Macaca fascicularis: one gene and its partner. The protein of the gene in region 2 purifies or fractionates together with the protein of the main gene of each other region. This does not show direct contact. Links are inferred from orthologs where the notes say so. Each region holds a gene or a part of one and is shown on either strand. Other genes may lie near its edges.

Region 1 (9,200 bases), on a different chromosome or scaffold from region 2:
AGGAGCCGTGGTTCATGCCTGTAATCCCAGCACTTTGGGAGGCCAAGAGGGGAGGATCGCCAGAGGCCAGGAGTTCGAGACCAGCCTGGGCAACAACAAAGTGAAACCTCCATCTCTACAAATAATAAAAACAATAAAAAATAAAATTTTAAAAGGTGAATTTTATGGAATGTAAATTATAATTCAATAAAGCTTTTATGAAAAACCTCCCCAAAAAACATGCTGACCTGAAGCAAGTTACTGCTTTGAAAGGAATAAATATAAATACAGTGTTCTTGTGAGAGACAACCATGATAAATTGGTGTGTCAATTCCAAGTGTTAGTGATCACGCTGAAGGGAAACAAAATGGAAAGCAAAAAATACATTTTTATGACTTTAAAAGAGAAAGAATAGTCTTTGTTAATGATAGCTGTTGATAATTAAAACTCAACAAGATATTCAGCCATGAAAAGAAATGAAATCCTAACACATGCTATTAACATGGATGAACCTTGGAAATATTTTGCTAAGTGAAATAAGCCAGATATTTATGACAAATATTGTATAATTCCACTTATAAGAAGTACATAGAATACGCAAATTCATAGAGACAGGAGAATAGAGTTTACCAGGGTTGGGGGAGGGGAAAGGGGGGAGTTATTGTTTAATAGGAACAGAGTTCCCGTTTGTGATTATGAAAATGTTCTCGAAAGAGACAGTAATTATACAACATGGTGAACATGCCGAAAACCACTGAATTATATACTTAAAAATGACTAAAGTGGTAAATGTTGTGTTATGTATATTTTACAACAAACAAACCTCAACAATAAGAAATAACCCAAATAAAAATGGGCAAAAGATCTGAAGACATCTCACCAAAGAAGATATGCAGATGGCAAGTAAGCAACATGGAAAGATGCCAAACATCATATGTCATAAGGAAATAGCTAAATTGTTTTAAATGAGATACCACTACACATCTAGTAGAATGGTCAAAATCCAAAACACAGACAAAACCAAGTGCTGAGCAGAATGTAGAGCAACAGGAACTCTCATTCATTGGTGGTGATAATGTAAAACAATACAATCAGTGGAAGCCAGTTTGACAGTTTCTTAAAAAAACTAAACATACTATTAATATTACTATATAATCTAGCAATTATACTACTTGGTATTTACCCAAATGAGCTAAAAACTTATTTCCACATATAAACTGCATGCAAATGTTTATATCAGCTTTATTCATAATTGATAAAACTTGGAAATGATAAAAATGTCCTTCAATAGATGAAAGGATAAACTATGGCACATCTAGACAACAGAATATTATTCAGCAATAAAAAGAAATGAGCTACCCAGACATAAGAAGACATGAATAACCTTGAGTACACACTGCTAAGTGAAAAAAAAGCCAATCTGCAAAGGCCACATACTGTTTAATTCCAACTGTATAACATTCTGGAAAAGGTAAAACTAGAGAGACAGTAACAAGATTCGTGGTTGCCAGGGGTTAGTGGGGAGGGAGGGACGAACAGGTGGAGCACATAGGATTTTTAGGGTGGTGAAACTATTCCGTATGATACTATGATAGTGGTTATATGTCATTATACATTTGTCAAAATCCACAGAATGTACAACACGAATAGTGAGCCCTAATGTAAATTACGGACTTTAGTTAATAATGTTATATTGATATTGGTTCATCAACTGTAACAACTGTACCATGCTAATGCAGGATGTTAGAAATAGGGGTAACTGGAAGGAACAGGTATGAGGCGCTCTGTGGGAACTTTCTACACTTTCCACTCAATTTTTCTGTGAATTTAAAACTGCTCTAACAAAAAAAAAAAAAAAAAAAATCCACTAATGATTTTAAGTGCAGGGAAGGAGGGTTTAAGCCAAAGTCAATGAGTTGAGAACTACAGACTGGATGCAAATTTATTCAGTCCAACTAAGAACACAGAATGGAGTAAAATGAAGGGATTTTTTTCAGCCAATGTTATATAAAAACTACAAAACTTTGTTTGAATTTAATTTACTGCCATTTATGCTTGTATGAGTAATATTCAAACTGTCAATTACCACCATTTACAAATAATTAGGAAATGCCTTTGATTTTCTTTATTCACAAGGTACTGAAACAAAGCAAAAGATCTGGGGAAAATATTTTGCTACCCAACTCCACATCCATTTGTTCCATTGGGATTTTCTGAGTAACATAATTACTCCTAAACAAAGCAGGTTGGCATCAAACATCCTTTGAGAGTTTATGCCATTCAAGCAGCGCTTATGTATTGCAAAATGCCTATCCTTAATTCTAACAAGTACAAAAGGGTGACAGGCTTTCAACCATGTAACTCAATGCTGACCTTTTTACTCTTGCTTTAAAAGGCAAAGAGGATGAACCACTTACTTACCTTACTGAATCACACCAAGAACAGGTTTTTGGCCTCTCTGTTCAATGCTGTATTACTCAGTGAAAAGACAATCACTGATAATCATTCAGGGCTACCCCCAAAAGAAACTTTGCTGCTTTACAAAGTCAAGACATATTCAGTCACCCTTATCTGTCCCTCTAGCCCACATGGGTTCTTCAAAGCCTGTGACGGAGAAAGAATTACAAAACTTCAGAGGATAATACAACATCTTAGCTGGCCTTTGCTACCCAGGGCTCGGAGTCTAAAAAACAACTCGCAATATTTTCACTTAATCAAGCACCTGCTGCATGTTTCTCCTTTACGGGATCTAGATCTATAAAGAATTTGCATCCCCATTGCCAGCATCTCATTCATAAAGTGGAAGTAATAGTAACAATGATCTACCTGAACTTTGGCAATCCCTAGAGGACAGTTTTACTGCCTGTGATTAACACTCAAAAGCAAGCTAAATCCAAAGAGCTGCAAATACTAGTTATAAAATAACTGTAAAATAAAATAAATATGGCTATAAAATAAAGCCACAAAAGTTTAGAGCTATAAGAGAACACAGATTATCTAAACCCAGTGTTTATATAATTATGTATTTATGTTTAAGTTGTACTGGAAAAACACTTCTGTTTATAAACATAATAAACATGACTGAAGAAAAATAATACACAAACATTAATATAGTAGTACACAATATAGCAAGCATCTCATGATACCAGAATGTCTGAAATCCAGGACACAATGGTTGACTCCACCCTCTATTTCAAGAGGTCACCTGACCTGATCAAGTAGTTAGTAGTGGTAGAATACATTAATAGAGCTGGATGTAGAGAGAACAGAACACCTAGTTCCCCATCAGTCTTTCCCCCAGATTACAGGGCTGATCCATTCCATTAGACAGCTTAAATAACCCTTCAACTCTATCACTGCAATGTTCCTTCCTACCAAAGAATTCTTGCCCTCAAAAAAATAGTAGTAGGAAAACTGCCAGTCACCCAAAGGCACCCTCCTCAGATTCAATGCCAAAATAGAAAACACAAGTCCAAATCCTAGGGCTTGGTGCAAAAGGTTCCATTCCGGGCAAGTGAGATGGGGCAGAAATAAGAGCTCTGCATTGGCAGGGACTCCATCACTGGCTCAAACCAGGTGGATTCAAAAGCTCTAGTCCTGCTGCTAGAGCTGTGTGACTCAGAGGAAGTGTTTTCCCCAGTCTCTGTTTTCTCATTTGCAAAATGAATCTAAGCACATGAGATAATTATAGGTGAAGAGTGCCTGGAATGAAGTACACCTCTGTAAGCACAGGGGTAGCAAAATATTCACTGCTACACCCTTAGTGCCCAGTGCAGTGCCCACTGCAGTGCCCACTGCAGTACCCAATACACCACAAGCACACCAAAAGTTTGCTGAGTGAAGCAGAGAACCCAATAAAGCCAGCCTGAGGTTCAATCAAAATTCCTGGGCCCAACCTGTGAGTGGGCCCCCAACTTACTCCAAACCAGGGACCCACGTCCCCTAAACCAAGAATGGCCTTGATCATTGACAAAGGAAGAGTCTGTTCATATGTTTCAGGTAAGGCACAGCCTGAGAATCCGCCTCTAAGAAGCCTCATCACATCACAGTCCTGTGTTCATTTCATCCCAAAAGATAGGCACTCTGAGCTGCCCTGGCATTCCATTGTCTCTCTCTTCATTTTTAGAAGCAACAAGCTGACAAAACGACATCTCAGGCACCTGACTTTTGTAAGTGCCCTTTAAAGAGGCTTGGGAACAATTCTCATAGCTAGGACTCTACTCTGCTAAGGCAACCTTTCTTAGCTGAAAGGTATCACCTACTAACAAATCCATCACAGAAAAAGATAAAGTAAGAGAGTCAGAGACAATCCCACTATCTGCCTTCATGTGGTTCCTGATTCTTAAAACTAAAAGATGAACTGAGTTATTTTTAAATGGGGAGACTGAAAAGGCACCAAAAACGTTCTCACAATCCAAAGCACTCATCCCTAGAGCACGCTTATTTGGCCAGAAAAAGAAACTCTTTGGCTCTGCAAAAGTGAAGCAGAATGCAAAATTGCATCTCTCCCCTTGTACCAAAAGGAAAAAACGCAAAAATGGTTTTACAAAAGGTCCAAGAATGTTTGAAATACGTTTAAACTTCTTTCTGAGGACTATGGACATTCCTTCTCAGACCTTTACGTTTTCAAGGATAATGGGAGAGGTAAAAGGGAGAGCTTGGGAGCAGGAGAGGGAGAGAGTTGGGATATGCACATTCTATTTTTAAACCCTCGCCCACAGTTTAGAGTAAAGGAACACTCTGATTCTCTACTCCCACCCCTATCACCTTCTGCTAAACACAAGAATCAGAACCTGCGCACGTACTGATTCTAGATTTAGAGATTACTGGCTGCCAATACTCCAAGGAGTCGCAAGCTAAAACCAAGCATTCCACCCAGGGAACCCGGCGGCCTGACTGGGCTGGAGCTGCGTACAGGGAGCGAAGCAGTCACAACCCGCCTTTTCCCAAGGGGAGGCAGCGCCCCCTCGGCAGAGCACGCTCCATTCTCACGGTTGGGCACCCAAGGCTGAGCAACTCTGCCCCTAAGGGAGCTGGAGCTGTGGACACGATGGGATCTGCCCGCAGGCTGCGGCGCGCTGGGCACTCTGGCCCCACTCCTGGGGACACCTGCGTGCCGCGCACGCCCACCCGCGGTGCCCCAGAGCACCACCCGCGCTCGGTCACCTCCCGACCATCCCCGAACGCAAAAAGGCGGAGCGACGGGTCTCTCTCTTCATCTGATGGTTGCGGGTTCGCCCGCTTTACGTATCCTTCCTGCCTCGGAGGCGTCGACACCGGTCCCCCAGTGTACCGGGAGCAGAAACCCGGCGGATGCGCGGGCAACCCGGGCTGAGCGCCACCTCCCAGTCCCTCCCGCCCCGGGGCCGCGTCCCCGCGGGGCTCGGGACACTCACTCTTGAGCGCTGTTATGAGTGACTTCCCGTCCTTGATGAGCTCCTTGATGAATTTGTTGGTCTTGTCCAGCTCTGCTTCGTGCGACTTGAGCGTCTCTCGGAAGTGCGGGCTATCGAGGCAGCAGTCGCTGAACTCGAGAGCTGGGAGCCCCATAGTGCCCGCGGCGCCCAGCCGCGGGGGCGCGCCTCCCCCGGGACCCGGGCCGCCCGCTCCCCAGAGCACGCACGCGGCAGGACCCCGACCGGCTCCTCCGACGGCCGCCGGCTCCACAGGTGTGGCGCTAGCTCGCTCCCCGCGCGGTGACCGCCGGCACGCAAGACTCCCGAACCGAGCCCGGAGCCGGCCGAGGGGCTGCTGCTCCCGGCGCGGGCAACGGAGTGGTTCGCGAGCAGGAAACGCAGCGCCGACCCGCAGCGGCGCCTGGAAGCGAGCGAGCGGGCCAGCGAGTGCAGACGCCGCCTCCCCGCCTCCTTCGCTAGCTAGCTCTCGGCAGCCTCGAGCGCCCTCTCACAGCAGCCTCGGCCGCCCCGCCGGCGTCTGGGCCGCTCGAACCTGCTAGCGATGACTTAATCCCCGCCGGGCCAATCAGCGCACCCTCCCCTGCCCGACCCTCGGGCCGCCCGGGGACGCCCGGCCCTTCCGCGGTCTTGATCCAATCAAAGGGGCCTGGAGGCAGGGTCTGCGGCTGGGGGCGTGGCCCTCGCCAACGCCTAGGTCCGCAGCGCAAACTCCGCCTCCTATTGCCCGCCCGGCGTTGCAGACCCCGAAACCCAGGGGTGAGCGTTGCTGTGCACCCGCTCCAGCACCCTTGCCCGCCTGCTCCGGCCCGAATCCGAGCCGCGCATGGGGAGTCTGCTGGTCCTGGGGGCCGAGGAGCCTCGATGTGCCAAGCATGAAAAACCTGGGAACTAGGGCTGCAGTTCACCACAACATGCCCTGCACTGCTGGGCAACCGATTTTACACTAAAAATGCAGCCCCCTGCCCCGGGAGAATCCCGAGCGACCAAACGCTCCTCTTCCAGTCAGGCAGAAAAAAATGTTATTTGCATCTTAAAATTACCAGCTCTTGCCTGCAGTCTTCCCGCCCCCTACGGTCCGTCTCCCTCACGGCCACTCCTGCTCAGAACCCGCCCACGGCTCCCCTCAGCCGAAGGGGCTCACATCCTTACTAGAATTTCAGCCGCCTGTTATTTTCCTGCTCTGCATCTAGCACAATTTTACATAATTCCGTCCACTGCCTGTCATCCTTCGCTACACGGTAAGCCCCACGAGGGCACGTGCCCCTGCAATTTTATTGTCCGCTGTTGCATCCTGGCACCTAGCACAGTGGCTGGCATTTAATAACAGATATTGAGCGCTTCCTATGTGCTATGTGTGCTATGGTGATTGATAAGTGTTTGTGGAATAAATGAATGATCCTTTCCCAGAGCCATCTCGACCTCCCACGCCCAGTGCATTGCCCTGTAGTCCCTCTGTTCGACCGCAGGACTCAATTCTGGCATCTCACTCGTTGCACTTGTCAGGCTGGGTCCCACAGGGTGTCTAGTGCTGAATTGTGAACTCCTGGAGGATAGGGACTATCCTTGAATAAATTATCTCTATGTCTTGGAATCAGCAGCCCTCCTTCAGCTACATGGGGGCTTCATGTTTGTTTGGGTTGGTTTGTTTTTTAAATAGGTCTGCTATGTGCAGGCACTAGCCTAGATGATAACAATACAAAGATGAATAACAGAATGAATTTAGCTGGTGGTGGTATTAGGAGAGATGGAAGCGAACAAGCGATAACCATGCCTTGTGATAGAATGGAAGGCCTGGGTGCTTGGGAACATGGATTTTTCACTCAGGAGGGGTCAGAGGTGTCCCATCTATATTAAGAAAGCAATTGATGTATTAAATTCATAAATGGAGCATGGTGGTTCACACCTGTAATTCATTGTTTTTGGAGGCCAGGTGAGAGGGTTGCTTGGGGTCAAGAGTTCAAGACCAGCTTGGGCAACATAGCAAGACCCGTCCCCCCCGACCATCTCTATAAAAATATTATAAAATAAATAAATGTATAAATGAATGAATGTGATCTGTTTAATAAGTATATCTACAAATTTAGACTTGATAGCAGGTCCAGACAGCTATCTGATAGATAATTACAACCAAAAATCATTGTTCTTCACTTGCCAACGATCAGAAAGATCTAGAATGGAAACCCTATGAAACTAAATCTGTTTAAGGCTTTATCTTGAGCCCCTAAAGGTAGGTGTTCTGGTTATCTATTAATACAGAACAAATAACACCAAAAGTTAATGGTTTAAGACAACAGTAATCATTTTATTTTCTCTCACAATCTCTGTGGGTTAGGAATTTGGGGAAGCTGAAACCACTGGGTGGTTTTGGCTTGAGGTCTCTCATGTGATTGCAGTTGGATGGTGACAGGAGCTGGAGGAGTGGATGGTTAGCTGGGCATCTCCCACTTTTCAGGTAGACTCAGGGTTTCTCCATATGGCCTTTCTCTGTGGTCCAGTTTAGGCTTCCTCATATGTGTGTGAACATATACAGCTCACAAGGGGAAAGCTGCATCACCTTTTATGACCTAGCCTTGTGAGGTGGGAGGCCTGCAGGACTTGTTTTCCAATCACAACCCCACTGATCAGACCAGGATTCAGTCAAAACAGGATTCACTGAAGCAGCCAGCAGAAACCAGCAGGCAAGGAAGAAAGACACTTTTAGTTGCCCTCACTGCTCATTAGCATGGAGACACTCCCACCATTGCCATGACAGTTTACAAATGCCATTGCAACGGGCCATGGCAATGGCCTGGAAGTTACCTTATATGGTTCTGGAAACTCGCTGCCTCCTTTCTAGAAAGTTCTAAGTAACTCACCTCTTAATTAGCATATAATTAAAAGTAGGTATAGGTACAGCTGCCAACAGCCCTGTACACTGCCCACCCTGAGCATACTCCCTATGGGATAGCCCTGTTCCACAAGAAGCAGCACTGATTCAATGAAAGTTGCTTTCTCTTACCACTGGCTTGCCCTTACATTCTTTTCTGGGCAAAGTCAAGAAGCCTCCTGGGCTAAGCTGCAATTTGGGGGCTTGCCTGCCCTGAATCACTTGGAAGTCACATACTTCTACCACTTTCATTAGCTACAAGCAACTCATAAGCCCACCCAGATTCAAAGGGAAGGAGATTAGACTGTACCTCTAGATGGGGGAATGATAAGAATGGGAGATATTATCGTAGCTATTTCTGAAAAATATAATCTGCCACAGTGGGTCTAGCATAAATAGTAACATTCAATACATGTTAAATGAATGAAATAAAATGTGATCCACAATTATTTGTTTTATCCCATCGAGGAATAGTAGGTGAATGTGTATAAAATAATATATATGTATAATAATAACAACAATAATATATCAGCTATCATTTGTTAAGCTCTCAGTTTATGCCAGGCACTATGGTAAATTATTTACATGCATTTATAGCTGTCGTAGTGGTACACGCCTTTAATCCCAGCTACTCAGGAAGCTGAGACACAAGAATTGCTTGAGCCTGGGAGGCAGAGTTTGCAGTGAGCTGAGGTCGTGCCACTGCACTCCAGCCTGGGCGACAGAGCAAGACTCCGTCTCAAAAAACAGACAAAAAAAATTATTTACATGCATGTAATCCCTACAGGGTGAGACTGGCACTATGATAGTTCCCATTTTTTCAGATAAGAAATTGAGGCCTAGAGTTGTAACCTGAACCAGCTTACCCAGATAATATTAATAATTCTGTGTGGCACAAACATGTAACTTAATATGCCCATTCACAGACAAATATGTAA
Region 2 (8,504 bases):
GAACTCCTGGGCTCAAGCAATCCTCCCACCTTGGCCTCCTGAAGTGCCGGGATTATAGGCATGAGCCACTGTGCCCAGCTCCCCCATTTTTTTTTTTTTTTTGAGATGGAGTCTCGCACTGTCTCCCAGCCTGCAGTGCAGTGGCGCGATCTTGGCTCACGGCAAGCTCTGCCTCCCAGGTTAACGCCATTCTCCTGCCTCAGCTTCCTGAGTAGCCGGGACTACAGGTGCCCGCCACCATGCCCAGCCAATTTCTTGTATTTTTAGTAGAAACAGGGTTTCACCATGTTAGCCAGGATGGTCTCGATCTCCTGACCTTGTGATCTGCCTGCCTCGGCCTTCCAAAGTGCTGGGATTACAGGCATGAACTCCCGTGCCTGACCATAGAGTGATGGTTTCTATATGTCAGGGGCTCACAAGGGGCTCTGAATGTGCGCAGTCACCAATGCCCCCATTTTACAGTAGAGCAAACTGACAGAGAGAAGAAGGGACCTGCCCAAAGAAACACAGTTAACAACTGCAGGTGTCAAAAGAGAATGCGGGTTGACTGGCCCCACGGGGTCACCTCTCCAAAGCCCCAGGAAACTTCAGCTGCCCTCTGGATGCCACAGCCCAGGCCAGCCATCCTGGGTGCCCTGCAGTGCCCTCACACACCTGTCTATCTCGTCCCGGCTGAGCACCTCCTGCTTCTTCAGTGCTTTGATGGCGTAGTATTTCCCCGTCCCCTTGAACTGGACCAGGAGGACCTGGGGCCAGAGACAGGTTGGGTCCAGGTGGGCCGCACCAGGGAGCCTTTACCACCCACACAGATCAGGTCCTCCCGGCTCATGTGATGAGGCCCCCAATCCTGTCCCATAGCACCCTCTTCAGCCCACTACCTTCCCAAAGTGTCCCCGGCCCAGCACGGCTAAGCAGCGGAAGTCCTGAAGCCGAGGGGCTTTCCTGCAAAGAAAGAGAGGGTATAGGAAGTCCCCTACGGCAAGGGCTGGGTCCCTACCCAGAGCCACTCCAAGCCTCCCATGCCCAGTCCGGGGCTGTCTCAACCTATGGGCTCGAGAAACCCCTGCAGGAAGGGCTCCTAGAAGCTGGCATAGAGCTGGAGCTCAATCATGTGGGTTTAGCAAATCAGACCCCGAGAGCCAGCCAGCGCGTGTGCCAGGGAGCCACGGAGTAATGTATGATGGATACACAAATGTTCAAGTAAGCAGACGAACGTCTCAAACATGAAGGTGCGCAGGATGTGGGTACCTGGTGGGGGAGGCTGGTGGAGATGGCCCACGTCGAGTCCTAGGCTCCATGTGGGGGCGTTTGGTGCGCTGTGAGGACAGAAGAGCTCAGGGCAGGGCTGGGCTTCCTTCTTTCTTTCCCTTTAGGCCTGCCACCCCACAGCTGGGTGAGCCCGCCAAGCCCAGCCGGTCCCAGGAGCCAGTAGTCCCTCCAGCCCCTCACCGGAGTCTCCTCGAATGTTGGCTCCTGCGGGAGGTAGAGGCGCGGGGGCTTGGGTGGGGGTGTCATCTGTTCGCCCAAGGGGGTCTTCTTGGGCAAGAAATTACTGTAGGGAGAAAGTAGACACAGTGCCCAGCACAGTCAGATGCAACAGCTGGCAGGATGGACACACCCACCTGAAGGGAGATGGACAGAGGTTGGGGGCTGAGCAATATGGACAGACAGACAGACACCGCCTGCATTTGGAGCCCCACAGCTGCCACAGAGGAGGGTGCAGTCTAGGGCGACGGGGCTCCTCACCTGGGAGTGGCAGGGTCAGAGGCCTCTCGTGATGTTGTTGGGGTCCGAGGGCACCCTTTGGGGGGGCTGATCGTGCTCGGGGAGCTGCAGGGGGGCAGCAGGTTCATGACGAGGCGCCCCCAGGCCGCCATGCTGAGGTTCATCTGCGAAGCCCTCAGGAAGTCCTGGCCTGGGAGAAAAGGGGACCTTAGTCCCGGGGCCCCAGCCGTGCTCCCTCGCACATAGCCCCCATCCCCTCCACACCTCTGCGTTTAGAGAAGATGCGTTCCTGCCTCTGCAGCCGGGGCCGCCTCTCAATGACAGGATCGCAGAAGGTCACCTGCAGGGGTAGGGGCAGGGTTGTGGACCAGTCGCCTCCCATCTCAGCTGCCGTGGCACCTCCTCTGCCCCTGGGATCACAGCCCAAGCCCCCAGGGTCAACAGATGCAAGAGCCAGAAGGACCCAGGGAAACAGATTCAATGTCCTCACTGAGACTAGTGGAGAAACAGAGGCCCAGGGAGGACAGCACTTTTCCAGGCTCACACCTGAGGCAGGGCAGTCAGGACAAGGACCCAGGCCTCCAGATGCAGCCCTGAGAGAGCGGCGAGGAGCCCTTATTGTTGGAGACCTCCTCTCTGGTCCTCAATCTCTGCACCTACATGCAGTGCATCGGTCTTGAAGGCCTTCCTGGCCCTGACGCCCCCAGGGGCCCACCAAGTCAGAGGGCGGAGGTGGTGAGCACCTGGGCAAAAAGCAGCCCCTGTGGTACCAGGCTGAGGGACAGCTGGTGACAGGCATTGTCCAGGAAGTCCTCAAGTCTCAGGAAGGCCACGCCACATAGCTGCCGCCAGTCCCGCCAATGCACCCCAATCTCCAGCTCACGGGCCTATATTGGGGAGGCCAGGCTGAAGGGTGGGGTGCAGAACGAGCCCCGACCTGGGCAGCCTTCCACCCCGCAGCCCAAGGTCACCCCTGACCACACAAAAGCAGCCTTACTCGCTCCAGTGGAATGACAAAGGTCTGGTCCCAGGACTGTTTGGCCACCTGCCCCCAGCCCGTCTGCCCCACAACGCGGTTGTCCACCTTCAGCACAGCCAGCACCTCGCCTGCAGGGCCAGAGCTGGGGCTCAGCACAGGCCTGAAGCAGGGCTCTCCTGCCCTCCCCGAAGCTCCTTCCCTACTCACTGGCAAGCTCGCCTCGGCCACGCTGCTGCTTGGCCCTGGTCCGAAGCCAGCCGTCGGAGGGGCTGCCAGCCAGTGCAGCCGCCGGGGAGCGTCCAGGCACGGCTGCCAGCAACTGTTCACAGCCCAGGAGACGGACCTGCAGTGTCCCTGCGGTAAGGGTGGGCGGGGGGTGTTGTCAGATGCCATCTTCCCCCTGCTACCACCAAGGTGTCCTGGGACCCCAGGAAGGCCACCCTCTCCAGGAGGTGGCTGAACCCAGACCCTACCCACCTGAGGCCAGGGCAGCTACCTGAGAAACCTCACTCAGTGTGGCAGCCTAGAGTGCCTGGACAGGAGCCTGCTGACTGCCCTGCAGCTTCCAAGTACCATGAGTCCCCGAAGGGTGCCCTTGGACCCCGATGACACCCTGGGTGGCCTCCAACCTGGCCACTCCCAGGGGAGGAGCCACCTTGTCCCAGACTGCACGCTTCTCTGTGGCAGCCACCTCTTTCCAGGGCAGAGCAACTGGCTCTCCCGTCCATATGCTGGAGGGGCAGGGACACAGGCTCAGACCTCAGACCTCAGTCAGGCTGCACAGACACAGCACATGACGAGATGCTGCCCAGAGCTGGGGCCTGGAGAGCACTGTGGCAAGGACAAGAGCTTGGGACAGGGAGCAGGAAGCCTGGCTTCCTGTCCGGACCCACCTGCTACCTGGGCCTCAGTTTCCCCATCTGAACAGTGGAGGTGAGTCCCAGCTCTGCCCCACCTCCCTCAATGGATATGAAACGTGTTTTGTCAATGAAGTAAGTTCATGTGTCACGTCACTAGAGGTTTGTCTCTCAAAGGGTAGAGAAAGCAGTGGGGATCTAGCAGCTTTTGAGGACACGAAGTAGGCCCAAGAGTATCATTTAGGGAGAGTCTGGGGCTGGGGGTTACAGACAGAGAGAACTTGTAAACAAAGGCAGGGGTCCAGGGTAGAAAGATCAGCTTAGAAAGAACAGCTCGGCTGGGCGCAGTGGCTCACACCTGTAATCCCAACACTTTGGGAGGCCGAGGCGGGCAGATCACCTGGGATCAGGAGTTCAAGACCAGCGTGACCAACATGGCAAAACCCCGTCCTAACCAAAAATACAAAAATCAGCCGGGCCTGGTGTTGGGCACCTGTAATCCCAACTACCTAGGAGGCTGAGGAAGGAAAATCGCTTGAACCCAGGAGGCGGAGGTTGCAGTGAGCCGATATTGTGCCATTACACTCCAGCCTGGGCGACAGAGCAAGACTCTGTCTCAAAAAAAACAAAAACAAAAACAAAAATTTGAGGCCGGGTGCGGTGGCTCACACTTATAATCCCAGCACTTTGAGAGGGTGAGGCAGGCGGATCACCTGAGGTCGGGAGCTCGAGACCAGCCTGGCCAACACGGTGAAACCCCGTCTCTACTAAAAATACAATTAGCCGGGCATGGTGGTGGGCGCCTGTTATCCCAACTACTTGGGAGGCTGAGGCAGGAGAATTGCTTGAACCTGGGAGACAAGAGGTTGCAGTGAATCAAGATGCCACTGCACTCCAGCCTGGGCGACAAAGCAAGACTCTATCTCTTTTTTTTTTTTTTTTTTTTTTTTTATGAGAGGGAGTCTGGCTCTGTCGCCCAGGCTGGAGTGCAGTGGCCGGATCTCAGCTCACTGCAAGCTCCGCCTCCCAGGTTTACGCCATTCTCCTGCCTCAGCCTCCCGAGTAGCTGGGACTACAGGCGCCCGCCACCTCGCCCAGCTAGTTTTTTTTGTATTTTTTAGTAGAGATGGGGTTTCACCGTGTTAGCCAGGATGGTCTTGATCTCCTGACCTCGTGATCCGCCCGTCTCGGCCTCCCAAAGTGCTGGGATTACAGGCTTGAGCCACCGCGCCCGGCCAAGACTCTATCTCAAAAAAAAAAAAAAAAAAAAAAAAAGGCCCAGCATGGTGGCTCACACCTGTAATCCCAGCACTTTGAGAGGCCGAGGTGGGCAGATCACGAAGTCAGGAGATCAAGACTGCCAGGCGTGGTGGCTCACGCCTGTAATCCCAGCACTTTGGGAGGTCGAGGCGGGTGAATCACGAGGTCAGAAGATTGAGACCATCCTGACTAACACGGTGAAACCCCGTATCTACTAAAAACATAAAAAATTAGCCGGGCATGGTGGCGGGCGCCTGTAGTCCCAGCTACTCGGGAGGCTGAGGCAGGAGAATGGCGTGAACCCGGGAGGCGGAGCTTGCAGTGAGCCGAGATCGCACCACTGCACTACTTACGGCCTGGGCGACAGAGTGAGACTCCCTCTCAAAAAAAAAAAGGAGATCAAGACCACAGTGGTGAAACCCCGTCTCTACTAAAAATACAAAAAATTAGCTGGGTACGGTGGCAGGCGCTTGTAGTGCCAGCTACTCGGGAGGCTGACACAGGAGAATCGCTTGAACCTAGGAGGTGAAGGTTGCAGTGAGTCAACATCACGCCACTGCACTCCAGCCTGGGCGACAAAGCAAGACTCTGTCTTAAAAAAAAAAAAAAAAGCCCGGGCGCGGTGGCTCACACCTGTAATCCCGCACTTTGGGAGGTCGAGGTGGGTGGATCACGAGGTCAGGAGATCGAGACCACGGTGAAACCCCGTTTCTACTAAAAATACAAAAAATTAGTCGGGCGCAGTGGCAGATGCCTGTAGTCCCAGCTACTCGGGAGACTGAGGCAGGAGAATGGTGTGAACCCGGGAGGCAGAGCCTGCAGTGAGCCGAACTCATGCCACTGCACTACAGCCTGGGTGACAAAGTAAGACTGTCTCAAAAAAAAAAAAAAGAAAAAAAAGAGGCTGGGCGAGGTGGCTCATGCCTATAATCCCAGCACATTGGGAGGCTGAGGCGGGTGGAGGATCACCTGAGGTCAGAAGTTCGAGACCAGACTGACCAACATGGAGAAATCCCATCTCTACTAAAAATATAAAAATTAGCCAGGCATGGTGGCACATGCCTGTAATCCCAGCTATTTGAGAGGCTGAGGCAGGAGAATTGCTTGAACCCAGGAGGCAGAGGTTGTGGTGAGCCGAGGTCGTGCCACTGCACTCCAGCCTGGGCAATAAGAGCAAAACTCTGTCTCCAAAAAAAAAAAAAAAAAAAGGACAACTCAAGTAACTGGGGTGTTTAGCCAGGAGACAAGATATGGGGTGGCCTTGAGTAGCTGAATTCTAGGCCTTTTAATAAGCTGTTTCTTCTGCATTTCTGAACTTGTCTACTTGGCCATAAGTACTCCTGTGTAAGTCCTTCAAGGCCAAGACACCACCTCCTCTAGAAAACACTCCTTGGGCTGGGCGTGGTGGCTCACACCTGTAATCCCAGCAGTTTGGGAGGCCAAGGCAGGTGGATCACAGGAGGTCAGGAGTTCGAGACCAGCCTGGCCAACATGGCGAAACTCTGTCTCTACTAATAAAACAAAAATTAGCCAGACATGGTGGCGTGGGCCTGGAATCCCAGCTACTTGGGAAGCTGAGGCAGGAGAATTGCTTGAACCCAGGAGGCGGAGGTTGCAGTGAGCTGATATCACACCACTGCACTCCAGTCTGGGCGACAGTGCGAGGCTCCATCTCAAAAAAAAAAAAAAGAAAAGAAAACATTTCTCGATTCCCCAAGGCCAGGTGAGAGGGCTCCATCCAGAGCCTGCGTTTCCTCTTCTCAGCTCTGCTCACAACGGAATGGGGTCAGTCGGCCCTGTAGCAGTGCTCTGTGCAGGTAGGCACTGGCCTTTCCAGCTCGCACTGTATCTCGGTGGGATACAGCTTCAAAGCCCATGCTCTCAGATTATTTGCTGATTACAATTTGGCTGCTGCTACAAGGAGACAGATCTCAGTACAAGATAATTAACTTTTTTGGCCGGACATGGTGGCTCACGCCTGTCCCAGCACTTTGGGAGGCGGAGGCGGGCAGATCACAAGGTCAGGCAATGGAGACCATCCTGGCTAACATGGTGAAACCCCGTCTCTACTAAAAATACAAAAACAAAAAATTAGCCGGGTGTGGTGGCGGGCACCTATAGTCCCAGCTACACAGGAGGCTGAGGCGGGAGAATGGTGTGAACCTGGGAGGCGGAGCTTCACAACAGGGCATGCCCTGTCGCCCAGGGTGGAGTGCAATGGCACAATCTCAGCTCACTGCAACCTCCGCCGCTGGGGTTCAAGCAATTCTCTGCCTCAGCCTCCCGAGTAGCCAGGATTACAGAAGCACACCACCACACCTGGCTAATTTTTGTATTTTTAGTAGAGACAGTGTTTCACCATCTTGGCCAGGCCGGTCTTGAACTCCTGACTTCATGATCCACTCACCTTGGCCTCCCAAAGTGCTGGAATTACTGGTGTAAGCCACCGTGCCCAGCCTAGAAAACTTTCTAATAGTCCAAGCTGCCCAGTGCTGGGTATCAAGCTTTCCAGAGCTTCCTAACACCAGTGCTTTAAGTACTATTCTGCTTATTTATGTAAATACAAGCTACACTGAGTGCTGACTCTGCTAGGCACATCACGTGCAACACAGTAACCCTGTGAGGTAGGTGCTATATCATCCCCATTTTACAGATGGATAAACTGAGGTTTGAAGAGGAATGTCAGTTTCCCAAGGTCACGCTGCTAGTGGGTGGTGGGGCAGGACTGAAACTCTTGAACTCTTCCCCAAAGTGATTTGTGCTTCCGGGTCTCTCCCAAAAAAGAAAGAGAGCTCTGAAGTGGGAGGAACTTCTGGCTACCTGTCAGGGCGGTGGGCTTCACAGGTGTCCCTGAAGGCTGGGGGTATCCAGGCACTGCAGTTCGCAGCTCTCGGGCCACTCTGCTGCGCAAAGGGTGGGCAGGAGGGAGCTGCTCCAGCAGCTGCTCCAAGGCCAGCCGCAGGAGGTCCAGTTTCTGGGAGGACTCCTGTAGCTGGGCCTGGGCCTGCAGAGGGGACAAGGTAGAGCCAGGTTTGTGGATTATATGGCAGGGGGCAGCAGCCCAGGTCACCCGGAGTCACCTTCCGCATGAAGTCTCGACAGAGAAGTCCTGCTTCTACACAGCCACCCTCCCTTCACGCCCCTGCGGAGGGTGGTATGGGAAGAAGCCGGCCTTAGGAGAGGGCCATGGCTGGGACCTGACCTCGGCCAGCGCCTTGCGGTCCTGTGTTCTCCGGCTACTGAGCAGTTTCACCACGTTCTTGGCGCCCTCGGCCACGGATGCCTCAACGTGCAGTCGATGCTGTAGCTCCTCCGCCAGCAGCTCAGGCCCTGTGGGAAGGAGGGCAGCTCTAAGCCTCTGCTCTGCCCTGCTCCGCCCTCCCTGTATCTCAAGGCCTCACCTGGCTCCGGGGACCCACTGGCCTCCAGGCTGCTGATCTTCATCCGCAGCAGGGCCACCTTCAGCTGGCTGTCCCGCAGCATCTGCTGGGCAGCTGCCAGGAGCTTCCTCTCCTGTGGAGCCGTGGCACAAGCCCATCAGAGCAGGCCTGGGCCATAGCTTCCCCCATCAGACCAGGGTTAAAGTGAAAGCCTGGTCTCCCCCATCAGAACAGGGTTAAAGTCAAACCTCACTCAGTAGGCTAAACACTAGAATCAAACCTCCTTTGTTGGACTAGTTGGTG

What was found.
Region 1: the proteins of PKN3 (region 2) and ARHGAP26 purify together in Homo sapiens (affinity purification with mass spectrometry; 3 studies listed by BioGRID and IntAct, with this or other methods). This does not show direct contact. The link is inferred for Macaca fascicularis from reciprocal best matches to the Homo sapiens genes PKN3 and ARHGAP26.

Annotation. Positions count from the first base shown.
Region 1 is NC_088380.1:149,274,681-149,283,880, reverse strand, and holds the start of ARHGAP26 (rho GTPase-activating protein 26), read right to left. Parts: upstream 5,916-9,200; 5' UTR 5,530-5,915; coding exon 5,376-5,529; intron 1-5,375. UniProt on the Homo sapiens protein: GTPase-activating protein for RHOA and CDC42. Facilitates mitochondrial quality control by promoting Parkin-mediated recruitment of autophagosomes to damaged mitochondria.
Region 2 is NC_088389.1:15,243,466-15,251,969, forward strand, and holds part of PKN3 (serine/threonine-protein kinase N3), read right to left. Parts: intron 8,335-8,504; coding exon 8,223-8,334; intron 8,152-8,222; coding exon 8,024-8,151; intron 7,826-8,023; coding exon 7,642-7,825; intron 3,059-7,641; coding exon 2,912-3,058; intron 2,833-2,911; coding exon 2,723-2,832; intron 2,613-2,722; coding exon 2,469-2,612; intron 2,066-2,468; coding exon 1,990-2,065; intron 1,916-1,989; coding exon 1,747-1,915; intron 1,553-1,746; coding exon 1,450-1,552; intron 1,317-1,449; coding exon 1,249-1,316; intron 943-1,248; coding exon 879-942; intron 747-878; coding exon 655-746; intron 1-654.